3 linked regions of the Canis lupus familiaris genome follow. The protein of the gene in region 1 interacts with the protein of each later gene in a biochemical or structural test. Links are inferred from orthologs where the notes say so. Each region holds a gene or a part of one and is shown in the gene's direction. Other genes may lie near its edges. The genes, in order: CTTN, ACTR3 and HDAC6.

Region 1 (3,650 bases):
CATGTTTCCTTTTTTTGGTAACTACAGTCTGCTGTAGGCTTTGAATACCAGGGGAAGACCGAGAAGCACGCCTCACAGAGAGGTAAGCTGTGCTGCAGACAGGAGGGCAGCCCTGCCCCGCTGCGCCGGGCCAGAGAGAACACTGTCATCAGAGGCGGTTTCCTGGGGAGGACCATATCACTATGGGGCTCCCCAGGCTGTGGCAGAGGCTGCCTTTTCTTCCTCTGAGCATCGTTGTACCAGGAGAGTCCACTCTCGGGTTCGGCTGGCAACAAGCTCACTTTCCCCCCAGCCTTGGAAACCAGAGCCTGAGATCACTGTTGCTTTACTGTGCGTGTGGTCCTCACATGGTGCTGGCTAACCTTCAAGTCGTGACAGTCTTTTAAAGCCTTTTTTTTTCTTTCTTTCTTTCTTTCTTTTTTTTTTTTTTTTAAATGGAAGCATGTTATTTTTTCAAAGTGCTTGGTGTACTTTTTGTGAGCTGGTTTACGCCTGTGTCTTGCGTATCATCGGATGCCCTGGGGGTGGGCGCTCTGTCCATCTGGCCTGGCATGGACCTCTCTAGTCCCTTCGGCAAGGGGTTTGAGCTGCACAACTTGCTTTATTTGGACAGTTAATTTCTGCAGTGGGACCACAGCTTCTTGTGCCATTGTGAGAGGCTCCCCTCTTGGGGTTGCAAGGGATTGCGCTCTGAATGGAGTCTGGGTTCACTCCTGCATGACCATGGGGGGACTTTTAAACTGTGCGCTTGATCTCTTGCTGTGTCCTGACTCCAAAATGTTTTTGTCTTGCTCAGTCGAAGAACCGAGGTGACAGTTGAGCCTGTCATCGAGCTTCTTTACTGACTGCCGCCCTGTCTCCTCAGACTACTCAAGTGGGTTCGGTGGCAAGTATGGCGTGCAGGCTGACCGGGTGGACAAGAGTGCCGTGGGCTTCGACTACCAGGGCAAGACGGAAAAGCACGAGTCACAGAAAGGTCAGGCCACTGGGAGCACCACTTCTCCCTGTGTGGGGCCTGCCTCCTCCCTGCTGCGCACTCACAGGTCCACACCAGGGATTTCTCTCCCCATGCCAGCTGGCTTGTGTGGCATTTCTGCTGTTTTTGTTTTGTTTTGTTTTTTTAACATTTTATTTATTTATTCATGAGAGAGAGAGGCAGAGACACGGGCAGAGGGAGAAGAAGCAGGCTCCTCACTGGGAGCCCAATGGAGGAGTCGATCCCAGGACCCCAGGATCATGACCTGGGCTATTAATCCACCCAAGCGTCCCTTCTGCAGTCTTTTTAACTGAAATTGTCAGAGGGCTCTTGTTCTGTTCAGGTCAGCATACATCTGCCTTTTCTGTCCCCATCTTGCAAGGAGGCTGTCAACATTTAACCATTCCTCTTTGGAATGTGAAATTTTGGTTATTTGCAATCTTTGAAGCTAAAAATCAACTACAGTGAATATTCTTGTTCCCTGAGTCTCATAGATTTTTAAAAAATGATTTTTTAGAAGAGTAAATTTCCAGAAGTAGAACTGTTAGGTCAAAGGACGTTGAGTTTGAAATTTTGGTGGCTACTGCAGATTGTCCTCACCAGCTGTGCTGATTTTTCCCTCCATCATTGGAAACCCTGCCTGGCGAGGGATGTCTCCATGAAGGGTTTATAGATGTGGTCCCCTCTTGCAGTGGCCCTGGATTGTTGGTTCTTCTGCATTATTTGTTTCATATGGGCTTCACGTTTAAATATTTTTTTTTTTAAATACCTCTACACCCAACATGGGGCTTGAGCTTACAACCCTGAGATCCGCTGACTGAGCCAACCAAGCGCCCTTGTGCGTTTACATTTTTAAAAATAGTTGCCAACATATAAAAACAGAATTCACATCTTGTTTAAAAACCCAGATTTCTTTAAAAGACAAATATAGGGATGCCTGGGTGGCTCAGTGGTTGAGTGTCTGTCTTCGGCTTAGGTCATGATCCTTGGGTCCCGGGATCAAGTCCCACAGTGGGCTCCCTGCAGGGAGCCTGCTTCTTCATCTGCCTATGTCTCTGTCTCTCTGTCTGTCGTGAATAAATAAGTAAATCTTTAAAAATACATAAATAAAAGACAAAAATGAAAATGCCCATTGGAAACACCATGGGCGTGTCAGTTGCCTGGGAAGTGGCAGTGAGGCCTTTGGGGCAGCTGACTTGGCTGTGGGTGTCACTTCCTGTCATACCTGGCCTGCCCACCCACCCTGAGGCCACAGTCCTGGCACACAGTGTGCCCCACAGGGTCTCTTTAGACTCTGCCTCTTCTACTTGGAGCAAACTTGTGCTCCTCTGCCCAGTATGGTACGCACGGTGCTCATCCGGGCCTGCACTTAGATCCTGCACACTGCTATTCAGATTTTCTCCTGGACATGCCATTGAGGAGGAATGAAAACCGTTTCTGAGAAGTCAGAGAGCAGAAGCCAAAGGGCATGGGGCAGACAGGGTTTCTCTGCAGCCTTGGGCCTTCCCCCAAAGGGTTTGATCTTTGTGGTCTGCTCTGGGAATGTGGCCCTGGTAGAGCCATGCTTTAGTATGGAGATATGTCGGTGACTTAGCTCTGGGTGGAAGTGATGGTTTCTGGAAGATGCTCCACATCTGTCCTCTTTCTTTGAGGGTACTCCCAGCACACCTCTGCGGCTTTTGTTTATGAAGCAGAGTGACCTTTTATGTATTTATTTATATTTTTTAAAGCTTTATTTAAGGACATAGCAAGAGAGAGCACAAGCAGGGGCAGAGGCAGTGGGAGAGGGAGAAGCAGACTCTGCTGAGTAGGGAGCCCTGATGTGGGGCTCGATCCTAGGACCCTGAGATTATGACTTGAGCCAAGGGCAGACACTTAACCGACTGAGCCACACAAGTGCCCATAGTGTGACCTTTTAAAAGCTTGCCTCTATGGCTCTGGTGGCTCCTCTCAGTCCCAGAAGCTTTATTTATTTTTATTTTATTATTTTTTAAAGATTTGATGTATTTATTTATGAGAGACAGGCAGAGGGAGAAGCAGGCTTCCTGTGGGAAGCCTGATGTGAGACTCGATCTCAGGACCCTGGGATCACCCCCTGAGCGGAAGGCAGACAGTTAACCACTGAGTCACCCAGATGCCCCTCCCAAAAGCTTTATAACATGCTTGTTTTGTGATCTCTTTTGGAATGAAGGAAAGATAGTACAGTTGTGAAAATCTGCTGCACTTGCTATTCTTCGTGTTTTTGTTGCTACACACACAATAACACTCTGGAGCGCTCTGTATTAGTGTGATCTTACAGTGTACCTGAAAGAGTTTTGGCCTGTGTGTTTTGTTTTTAACTGGGTGATAAGGGATCCCTGGGTGGCGCAGCGGTTTGGCGCCTGCCTTTGGCCCAGGGCGCGATCCTGGAGACCCGGGATCGAGTCCCGCATCGGGCTCCCGGTGCATGGAGCCTGCTTCTCCCTCTGCCTCTGTCTCTGCGCCTCTCTCTCTCTCTGTGACTATCATAAATAAATAAAAGTTAAAAAAAAAAAAAAAAAAAAAAAAAAAAACTGGGTGATAAAAGTACTTTCTCAAAGAATCCACGGCCTGCTCACTGGTTTTGTTGCTGGTGTGTAAACAGTACTTTTCTTGTTTGCAGATTACTCGAAGGGTTTTGGTGGCAAGTACGGCA
Region 2 (3,650 bases), on another chromosome or scaffold:
TCTTCATCCTTCTTGATTGTCTATCACAGGATTGCTCTGATGATTCTCTTAACATTTACATTATGTATTTTAATTGAATCATCTGAAAATGTTGTTGGAATAATTTAATTGATCTCTAAATAGTAAAGTATGCGTCTCCTAAGGATAATCTACATCATTAAATCACACATGAAAAATGCTGTCCTGGTTTAATATTCTCCTTTTTTGGTAGTTTTATTTACTTTTGATATTAAGATCTCATTTGTGTTTTGTTTTGATAGTGGCCAATTCGCCATGGTATAGTTGAAGATTGGGACTTGATGGAAAGGTTTATGGAACAAGTGATCTTTAAATATTTAAGGGCAGAACCAGAAGATCATTATTTTCTTTTGGTAAGTACAAATTATAATTTCACCAAGGACGTTTTTGAAAAAAACATAATGAGAATGTTTTCATCACATTTATACTCACTAGGGCATACTTTGTTGTTTATTAAATTGTTCTGTGTCTAAAAGACTTCATTATAATGCTGTATTGTCTTTAAGATCATCCACTTCTGGGTTCCAATAGTTACGATACATTGAAGCACCAAGGTTTAGGCACTTAGAAAGTTCTTTTCATAATTAATATGTAATCTTTATGATAGGAACAGTAAGGTTCAAAAAATATTTGGGAATATGGCTCTTTGCTTTTTTAAATAACTCATCTGATTATTTATTTTATTGGTAATTCTTGGCAACAGAAATACAATATATAGTTTACAAAAATCCAATGCTGTAAGATTTAAAACAAAAAAATAGCACTCTGCTTTCTCACCTTTCCCAGCCTTTGATTCATAGTCTCTAGAGACAAACACTTTAAATTTTTAAAGAGCTTTTTATGATCATTATCTCATAAATTTAAACATGTTTTCTATTTCTTATTTATTTAAATATTAGACACTAATGCTTTCTAGTAGGAAAGGTGAGGATATTTTGTTCCTTTTATCCTCCTTCTCAACATAGAATCCCTATCTTCCCCCCTCCCTATAGAATAGACATGGAATCAATATTCCATTGATTTTATTTTACTGTAATTCGTGAATATTGTTTATAGACCATAAACATAAAGTTGAAAGAACTTTATGGTAGATACCCACATATACATAACCTAGATGCAAATATTAATTTTATTATAATTACTTTATGACGTCTAGCAGGTTATCCATCCATCACTCCATTTTATATTTTTAATTACTTCAGAATGAGTTGCAGATGGGGTAATTTCACCCCTAAGTACACTAGCATGCATATCACCAACTAGAGTTCATTATTTATAGTTCTTTTATGTATATAAAGTTCACAAATTCACATGCTATAAAATGTACAAATCTTAACGCTAGCATTCTATGAGTATTGAGCAGGCATTGGCAAACTTTCTCTGAAGGACCAGATAGCAAATATTTTTGGCTTTGAATGCCATATGGTCTCTGTTGCAGCTATTGAGCTCTGCTATTGTAACAGGAAAAGCTGCCTTAGACAGTACTTCAGTGTGTTCCAATAAAATTGTATCTACAAAAACAAGTGATGAGATGGATTTGTCTTACAGGATGCATGATGTTGTTTGCCATCTCCTGATTTTAACAGATGCATACATTTGTGTAAACAAAACTCTTGTCAAGATAGAGAACAGTAACACCAATAAAAAATAAATTAAAAAAATAAACAAAAATATCTAAAAAAAAAAAAAAAGATAGAGAACATTACTATCAGCCTAGAAAGTTTTCTGATGTCCTTTCCTGATTAATTCCTGCTCCTATGTGCTAGAGGCAACCACTGTTCTGATTTTTTCCAGCGTAGATTGGTTTTGCTTATATTTGAAATTTATATAAATGAAATTATACAAGATGTGCTCTTTGGTAAGACTTCATTCAGCGTAATCTTTGAGACTCATCCACATTGTTTCATATACCAGTAATTTGCTGGGTCAAATTCTATGGTATGAATATGCCTCACTATCCATTTTCTTGTTGGTGATTACCTGGACTGTTTCCAGTTTTTGACTATTAAGAATATTTTGGTTACTACAAACATTCTTAAATCTTTTTGTGGACATACTTTGATTTGTCTTGTATAAGTACCTGGATATCAAATTACTCTATTATAGGATAGGTGTGTGGTTGGTTTTATAGGTAACATTCAGAACTTTTTCCAAGGGGTTGTACCTTTTTGCACACCCACCAACAATGTGTTAGCAATCTGGTTGCTCTATGTTCTATCCAACATTGGTGTGTCAGTCTTTTTAATTTTAGCCATTCTGGTGGGTGTGTAAGATTTTTCATTTTGGTTTTAATTTGCATTTTCCTGATGACTAATGATGTTGAGCACTTTTTCATGTGCTTATTAGCTTTTTGTATATTTTCATTGGGAGGGTTTCTTTTTCTTTATTGGGAGGGTTTCTGATTATATTTTATTTTATATAGAGCTTCTGTTTTTCTTGGAGTTTATAATTTAACTGGCTTGGCTTTTTCAGTTTGCTTTTATCTTATATGTACCTATCACTAAGTTATCTCCAAAGCTTTGAACATAGTTCCAAAACTCTTTCAAATAAGTTTAAACACATCAGGTAGTTTAGCTATTAAAAGGTTTTATGGAGATGCCTAGGTGGCTCAGCGGTTGAGCATCTGCTTTTGGCTTAGGGCATGATCCCACGGTCCCGGGATTGAGTCCCACATCAGGCTCCCTGCGTGTAGCCTGCTTTTCCTTCTCCCCCTCTCTCTCTGTGTCTCTCATGAGTGAATAAATAAAATCTTTTTTTTTTAAAAAGGTTTTACGTACATACAGAGTCTACTCTAAGTTGACCATTGTCTTTAAAACTTTATAGTATTTTTTAAATTAACAAAAAATGTTTTAATTGGCAATATATTCAAGTGTTATCCATGTTTCTTTCTGTAATTTGTGCCCTTAAAATTTAAGGAATCATTCTTACCTCAAGGTCAAAAACATTATTCTTTTATATTTTCTAAAGTTTAAAAGGTTTGCCTTTCAGTTTAAATATTTGAGATAACAAAAAAGATTGTCAAATCTGATTCATAAGAATCAGAAGTCTTGCCCTGTTTCATGGTTTAATAATTTAAATGGTTTAACTAATCATGAGGCATAGGTGAAACATGAAGTGTGGGATTGTAAGTACTGTTTCAGCTCAGTGTTCTCTTGCCTCATTAGAATGTATTCTGGCCCAGACTTAATCTGCAGGTTTCTAAATGATGTATGTGAACTGAAGAGAACTGTGTAAATATCTCCATGTTAATACTCTTAACAGTTATATAACTTAAATAACATTTTCCAAAAAGCCATGGCATAAATTTGTAGAATCTTAGCTTATTTACTTTAGTTGTAAACAGACTAGGTACATCCTGCTAAAAAACCTTTCATAGATGAGAACTCTGCCACTAGCAAACACCATTGGTATTTCTCCCTGGGGATCTGTCATTACCCTTTTATAAGATGATTTGACCAAGTCTTTTATTCCTTTTATCAGTGTTTAATGGGGTAACATAGGGATTCCATTTCTTTTTTTGTGTGAATAACTATATTGTTTCCATATATGCAATACATCTGTTTGAATTCTTTATATAGTTTCTCTTTGGTCTATATGTCTATTTTTGTACCTCTAAGTTTAAGATTTTTAAA
Region 3 (4,098 bases), on another chromosome or scaffold:
GTGACTATACAGAAAAATGGGCCGTGGGTCTTACCGGGTGCTCCCTACTCTACTGTTCTGAGGGCACTACAACCCCAGAATGTTCCTCAGTGTGTATCATGTTTTCTTTGGTGCATGTGGAGGTTTAAAGGTCTTAGGACTTGATCCTCTTCCACTGGGACAAAAAATAAAACCAAACAAAACAAAACCATGTTCTGGTAGCAAAAGAGTGAAAGAGAAGGGTGGAACTGGGGTTTTCTAAAGGGTCATAGGGCCAGGCTACTGGGTGGTGGGGCTGTCAATCTATTTGTTAGTCAGCATGCTGAACCCCAGACCGCTTATCTCTTCAGCCCCAGCCTACAGCCCGGTAGGAAATGGTGAAGAATGAGAGAGGGAGATTAGGAGGACAAACCGGCCTCCTGCGGAGCTGATATTTAGACATCTAGACAAGGGGTGTGAGGGAGTTGGAGGGGCACACGGGTGCAACTCCCCCTACTTCCCAGGCACACGCTTTCCCTACAGCTTGGGGGCAGAGGTTACCCAATGGAGAGGGCTGGAGGGAGAACTGCCATCCAAGAAAAACTCTCCATGAGTCTATTCAAGCCCCGGGCACTATTATCACAATTTGCCAGATGAAGAAACCGAAGCACATAGATGTTCAGCAACTTGCTAAGGGTCACATGGCTAAGTCGTGTAACCTCAGTTTCCTTATCTCCAAAGCAGCCTTAATAATAGGAACTACCTCACAGAATTGTGGCTTACGACAGTGCCTGTCACATATTACTTGCTATCATCACGACTGCACTCAGTAAACCTCCTTCCATCCTACCAACCATATTCCCAGCAGAATAGCAGCAGCTAACATTTAGTGAGTGCTTCCTGTGGGCCACCTTAGTGAATATTAACTCGGAAAAGCCTCACAGCATTTAACATCGTCACCACTCCCATTCTGGCCACCACCAGCCATCCTCCAATATCCACCGCGCTCCGGGGCCCTGCCGCCGGCCCGCCCGCGCTACGTCATCACAGCGCGCCGCGCAGGAAGCCACCGGGAGAAAAGAAACCGCCCCTTCCTAATTCCCTCGCTTGCTTGTTTGCTCTCTTGAGTCATCGTACAGGACAACTGGCGCGGGTCCGGAGGACTCCTAAGGTGACCGGACAAGGATCGAGAGACAGCGGCCACGGGAGCCAGGACGGCAGCGGCGGTGGTTGGGGGAGGGGCGGGCTAGAGCCTGAGCGCCACCTCGAACCGCGGGGGCACGCTTCACGCAGGCGCAGCACAGCCAGCGTCGCGCGCTGACGTACCCACGGCGTTTGTGAGCTCGCGGGAAGTATGGCCCGCCTGAAGGGCGCGGCCCTGAGCACCGACACACAGTGTAGGCGGATCGGGGCGGGCAGTAGAGAGACCGGCCCAATGGAAAAGAGGGCCTCAAGCACCCGCCGTCCCGCAGGTCGCCAGGAATTTGGCGGCGGGAGCCCTGGGCGGAGTTTGAAAAAAGGGCTGCGCTCAGTGAGTGGAGCCGAAGGGATTGGTCGGCGTCGGCTGTGGGGTCGGAAGGGGGAGGGGACTGGTGGGAGGCGGCCTGAAACTGGCTGAAGGGATTTGCTGGAGCTTGAGGGTAGGGTTTGAGCAGGGGGTGGGATCTGGTGGAAGGAAAGGGGCAGTTCCCCGAGGAGCGAGGCTCGTTGAAACGTTAGGGGCGGGATCTGGCCAAGTGGAAGGTGTCGGTCCAGCCTGATAAGGGGTGGAGTTAAGTGGATCGTTAAGGGTGGAGTCGGGGCCGGAGCGGGGTCTGGGTCTGGCTGAGTGAAAGGGTGGGTGATTATTCTGGGAGATTAGCTGGAAGGGGCAGATTTGTGAAGGGGTGGGGTCTTGGCGAGGCTTGGAGGAATGAAAGAGTCTGGGAATGTGATTTGGGGGAGCGGAAAGGGCGGTGATTAGCTGGAAAGGGCCGGCGCTAGGACGGACTGAGCCTGGGGACTTATTGCTCCGCGAAAGGGCAAGACTTTTAAAGGGGAAAGAATAGTGTTAAGGGGGTGGAGCCTACTGGGATGGGCGGGACCAGGTGGAATGGACACCCCAGTGGAAGGAGAAGGCCTTGAAAGGGGTGGAGTTTAGAAGGCGGTGGGGAGTAGGATAGCAGAAGGGATGGAGACTGTATAGGGGGCGGGGTCTGGGAGGCCCTCAGGGCACTCCAGCCTGTTCGTAGTCACCGCCACCCCACCCCCCAGAGCCGCATCAGGGGTGAAGTCTCCCCGACCATGACCTCCACCGGCCAGGATTCCACCACAACCAGGCAGCGAAGGAGTAGGCATAACCCCCATTCGCCCCCCCACGACTCCAGCGTCACCTCGGTGAGGCCCCAAACCTGCCTGATGGGGGGGAGGAGCAGTAGGCCGTGCCCTGGAATCTGACCCTTCTCTCTGTTTGGCAGAAGCGAGGTGTTAAGAAGGGTGCCTTACGCCACTCCAGCCCTAGTCTAGCAGAGGTAAAGAAGAAAGGCAGAATGAAGAAGCTCAGCCAAGCAGCAGAGCAAGACCTAATCGTGGGCCTGCAAGGGCTGGTGAGAGTGGCCTGGGCTCAATGGATTTAGCTTCCTGTGACAATCAGAATCCTGTGGTTCTCCCTCCTGGACAGTGTGTGTTCCTTCTGACTCGGGCCCAAAGTGGATCGGTTTCTCCCCTTTTTTTCTCCCTGCAGGATCTGAACCTTGAGGCCAAGACACTTTGTGGCACTGGCTTGGTGTTTGATGAGCAACTAAATGAATTCCACTGCCTCTGGGATGACAGGTGAGGCTGGCTCCTCCAGACGGTACCCTAACCACAAAAATAAATGCCCTTAGAGCCCATTAGCAAGAACGAAGCCATTCTTATGCTAGCCTGGAGACTGGCAGCAGATGATTTCAAGTGGGGAGGCTTAGGCTTGAAAAGATTCTTTTCATTTGGCCAACACCTCCTGAGTATGCACTGTGTTCCAGGAGTTGGTGATACAGACATGTCAGACCAGACAGACAGGGCCCCTTCTCTAGGAGCTGTTAGTTGAGTAGGAGAGCAAATCATTAAACAGCCAACAGCAGTGTGAAGTATTTAACGAAGGATAACCCCAGACTAGGGGATTCAAGAGTGTTTGATAGAGGACCCTAGACTAGCATTCCGGGGTTCGCAGAAGGCTTCCTTGAAGAAAGGATATTTCATGCAGAAATGCAAGAATTTATACCTCCCATTTGCTCACACATGTTGTAATTCTTTTGGCTCTGTGTTGGAAATGTATTCAGTACCTGACCTCTCCTTACCACCTCCACTGCCACCACCACCATCACTTACCTAGACTTGGCCGAGGCCTTCTCCTTGGCTGCCTGCTTTCACCCTCACCCTGCTGTCTGTTCTCCACATGGCAGCCAAAGAAAACCAAAATACGTGTGAGATGATGTTGTCTCTCTCTTTTTAATTACTTTTTAACTGAAGTATAGTTGACATACTGCATTACATTAGTTAGAGTCCTGTTCTCTTTTTTAGAATCCTTCAAGGGTATACCATTGCCCTCAAGGTAAAGTCCAGATTCTTCATTCTGGCCTATAACATACCACGTGATCTGGCTCCACACCACTTCAGTGACCTCATCAGCCAGTCACTCGCGTAGCTTCATTTCACCCACACTGGTCCCCCTGCTGTTCCTCCAGCATCGCCAGGCACTCTGTCAGCTCGGGTCTTTACCCTGGCTGGCCCCCTCTTCCAGAAACTCATTTCCACCTCCTCCTCACCCAGTTAACATTCCCATCTCAAGGAGACTTGCTCCAAGAGGTCTTTGTCTGCTCCCCTTCCCCCACACCTGCTGTTGGAGGCCTTCCTAGTCTATATCATTGTTTGCTCATTTATCACACTTATGTGTGTATGTCCCCTCTCCCAACAGAAGACTCATGATGGCAAAAGATTTCATTCTCGAATACATGTCTGCCATCTCCTGAGGAGCTAGGGATGCCGTGGTAGACAAAACAAACAGAACCCCTGCCTCTGGGAAGATTGCATTTTAGAGGGGGAAGAGAGAGTCTGTGTGTGTGTGGGTGTGTAACTGTATGTCTTGTCAACCCAGCTTTCCTGAGGGCCCTGAGCGGCTCCATG

Evidence for each region.
Region 2: the proteins of CTTN (region 1) and ACTR3 form a complex in vitro, tested with the Homo sapiens proteins (3 studies listed by BioGRID). The link is inferred for Canis lupus familiaris from reciprocal best matches to the Homo sapiens genes CTTN and ACTR3.
Region 3: the proteins of CTTN (region 1) and HDAC6 form a complex in vitro, tested with the Homo sapiens proteins (3 studies listed by BioGRID and IntAct, with this or other methods). The link is inferred for Canis lupus familiaris from reciprocal best matches to the Homo sapiens genes CTTN and HDAC6.

What each region holds. Positions count from the first base shown.
Region 1 is NC_049239.1:48,400,446-48,404,095, reverse strand, and holds part of CTTN (src substrate cortactin), read left to right. Parts: intron 1-27; coding exon 28-82; intron 83-865; coding exon 866-976; intron 977-3,617; coding exon 3,618-3,650.
Region 2 is NC_049240.1:36,584,909-36,588,558, reverse strand, and holds part of ACTR3 (actin-related protein 3), read left to right. Parts: intron 1-260; coding exon 261-371; intron 372-3,650. UniProt on the Homo sapiens protein: ATP-binding component of the Arp2/3 complex, a multiprotein complex that mediates actin polymerization upon stimulation by nucleation-promoting factor (NPF).
Region 3 is NC_049260.1:42,208,144-42,212,241, forward strand, and holds the start of HDAC6 (histone deacetylase 6), read left to right. Parts: upstream 1-1,295; 5' UTR 1,296-1,312; coding exon 1,313-1,489; intron 1,490-1,579; exon of another isoform or gene 1,580-1,598; intron 1,599-1,654; exon of another isoform or gene 1,655-1,794; intron 1,795-2,211; coding exon 2,212-2,334; intron 2,335-2,414; coding exon 2,415-2,543; intron 2,544-2,680; coding exon 2,681-2,769; intron 2,770-4,069; coding exon 4,070-4,098.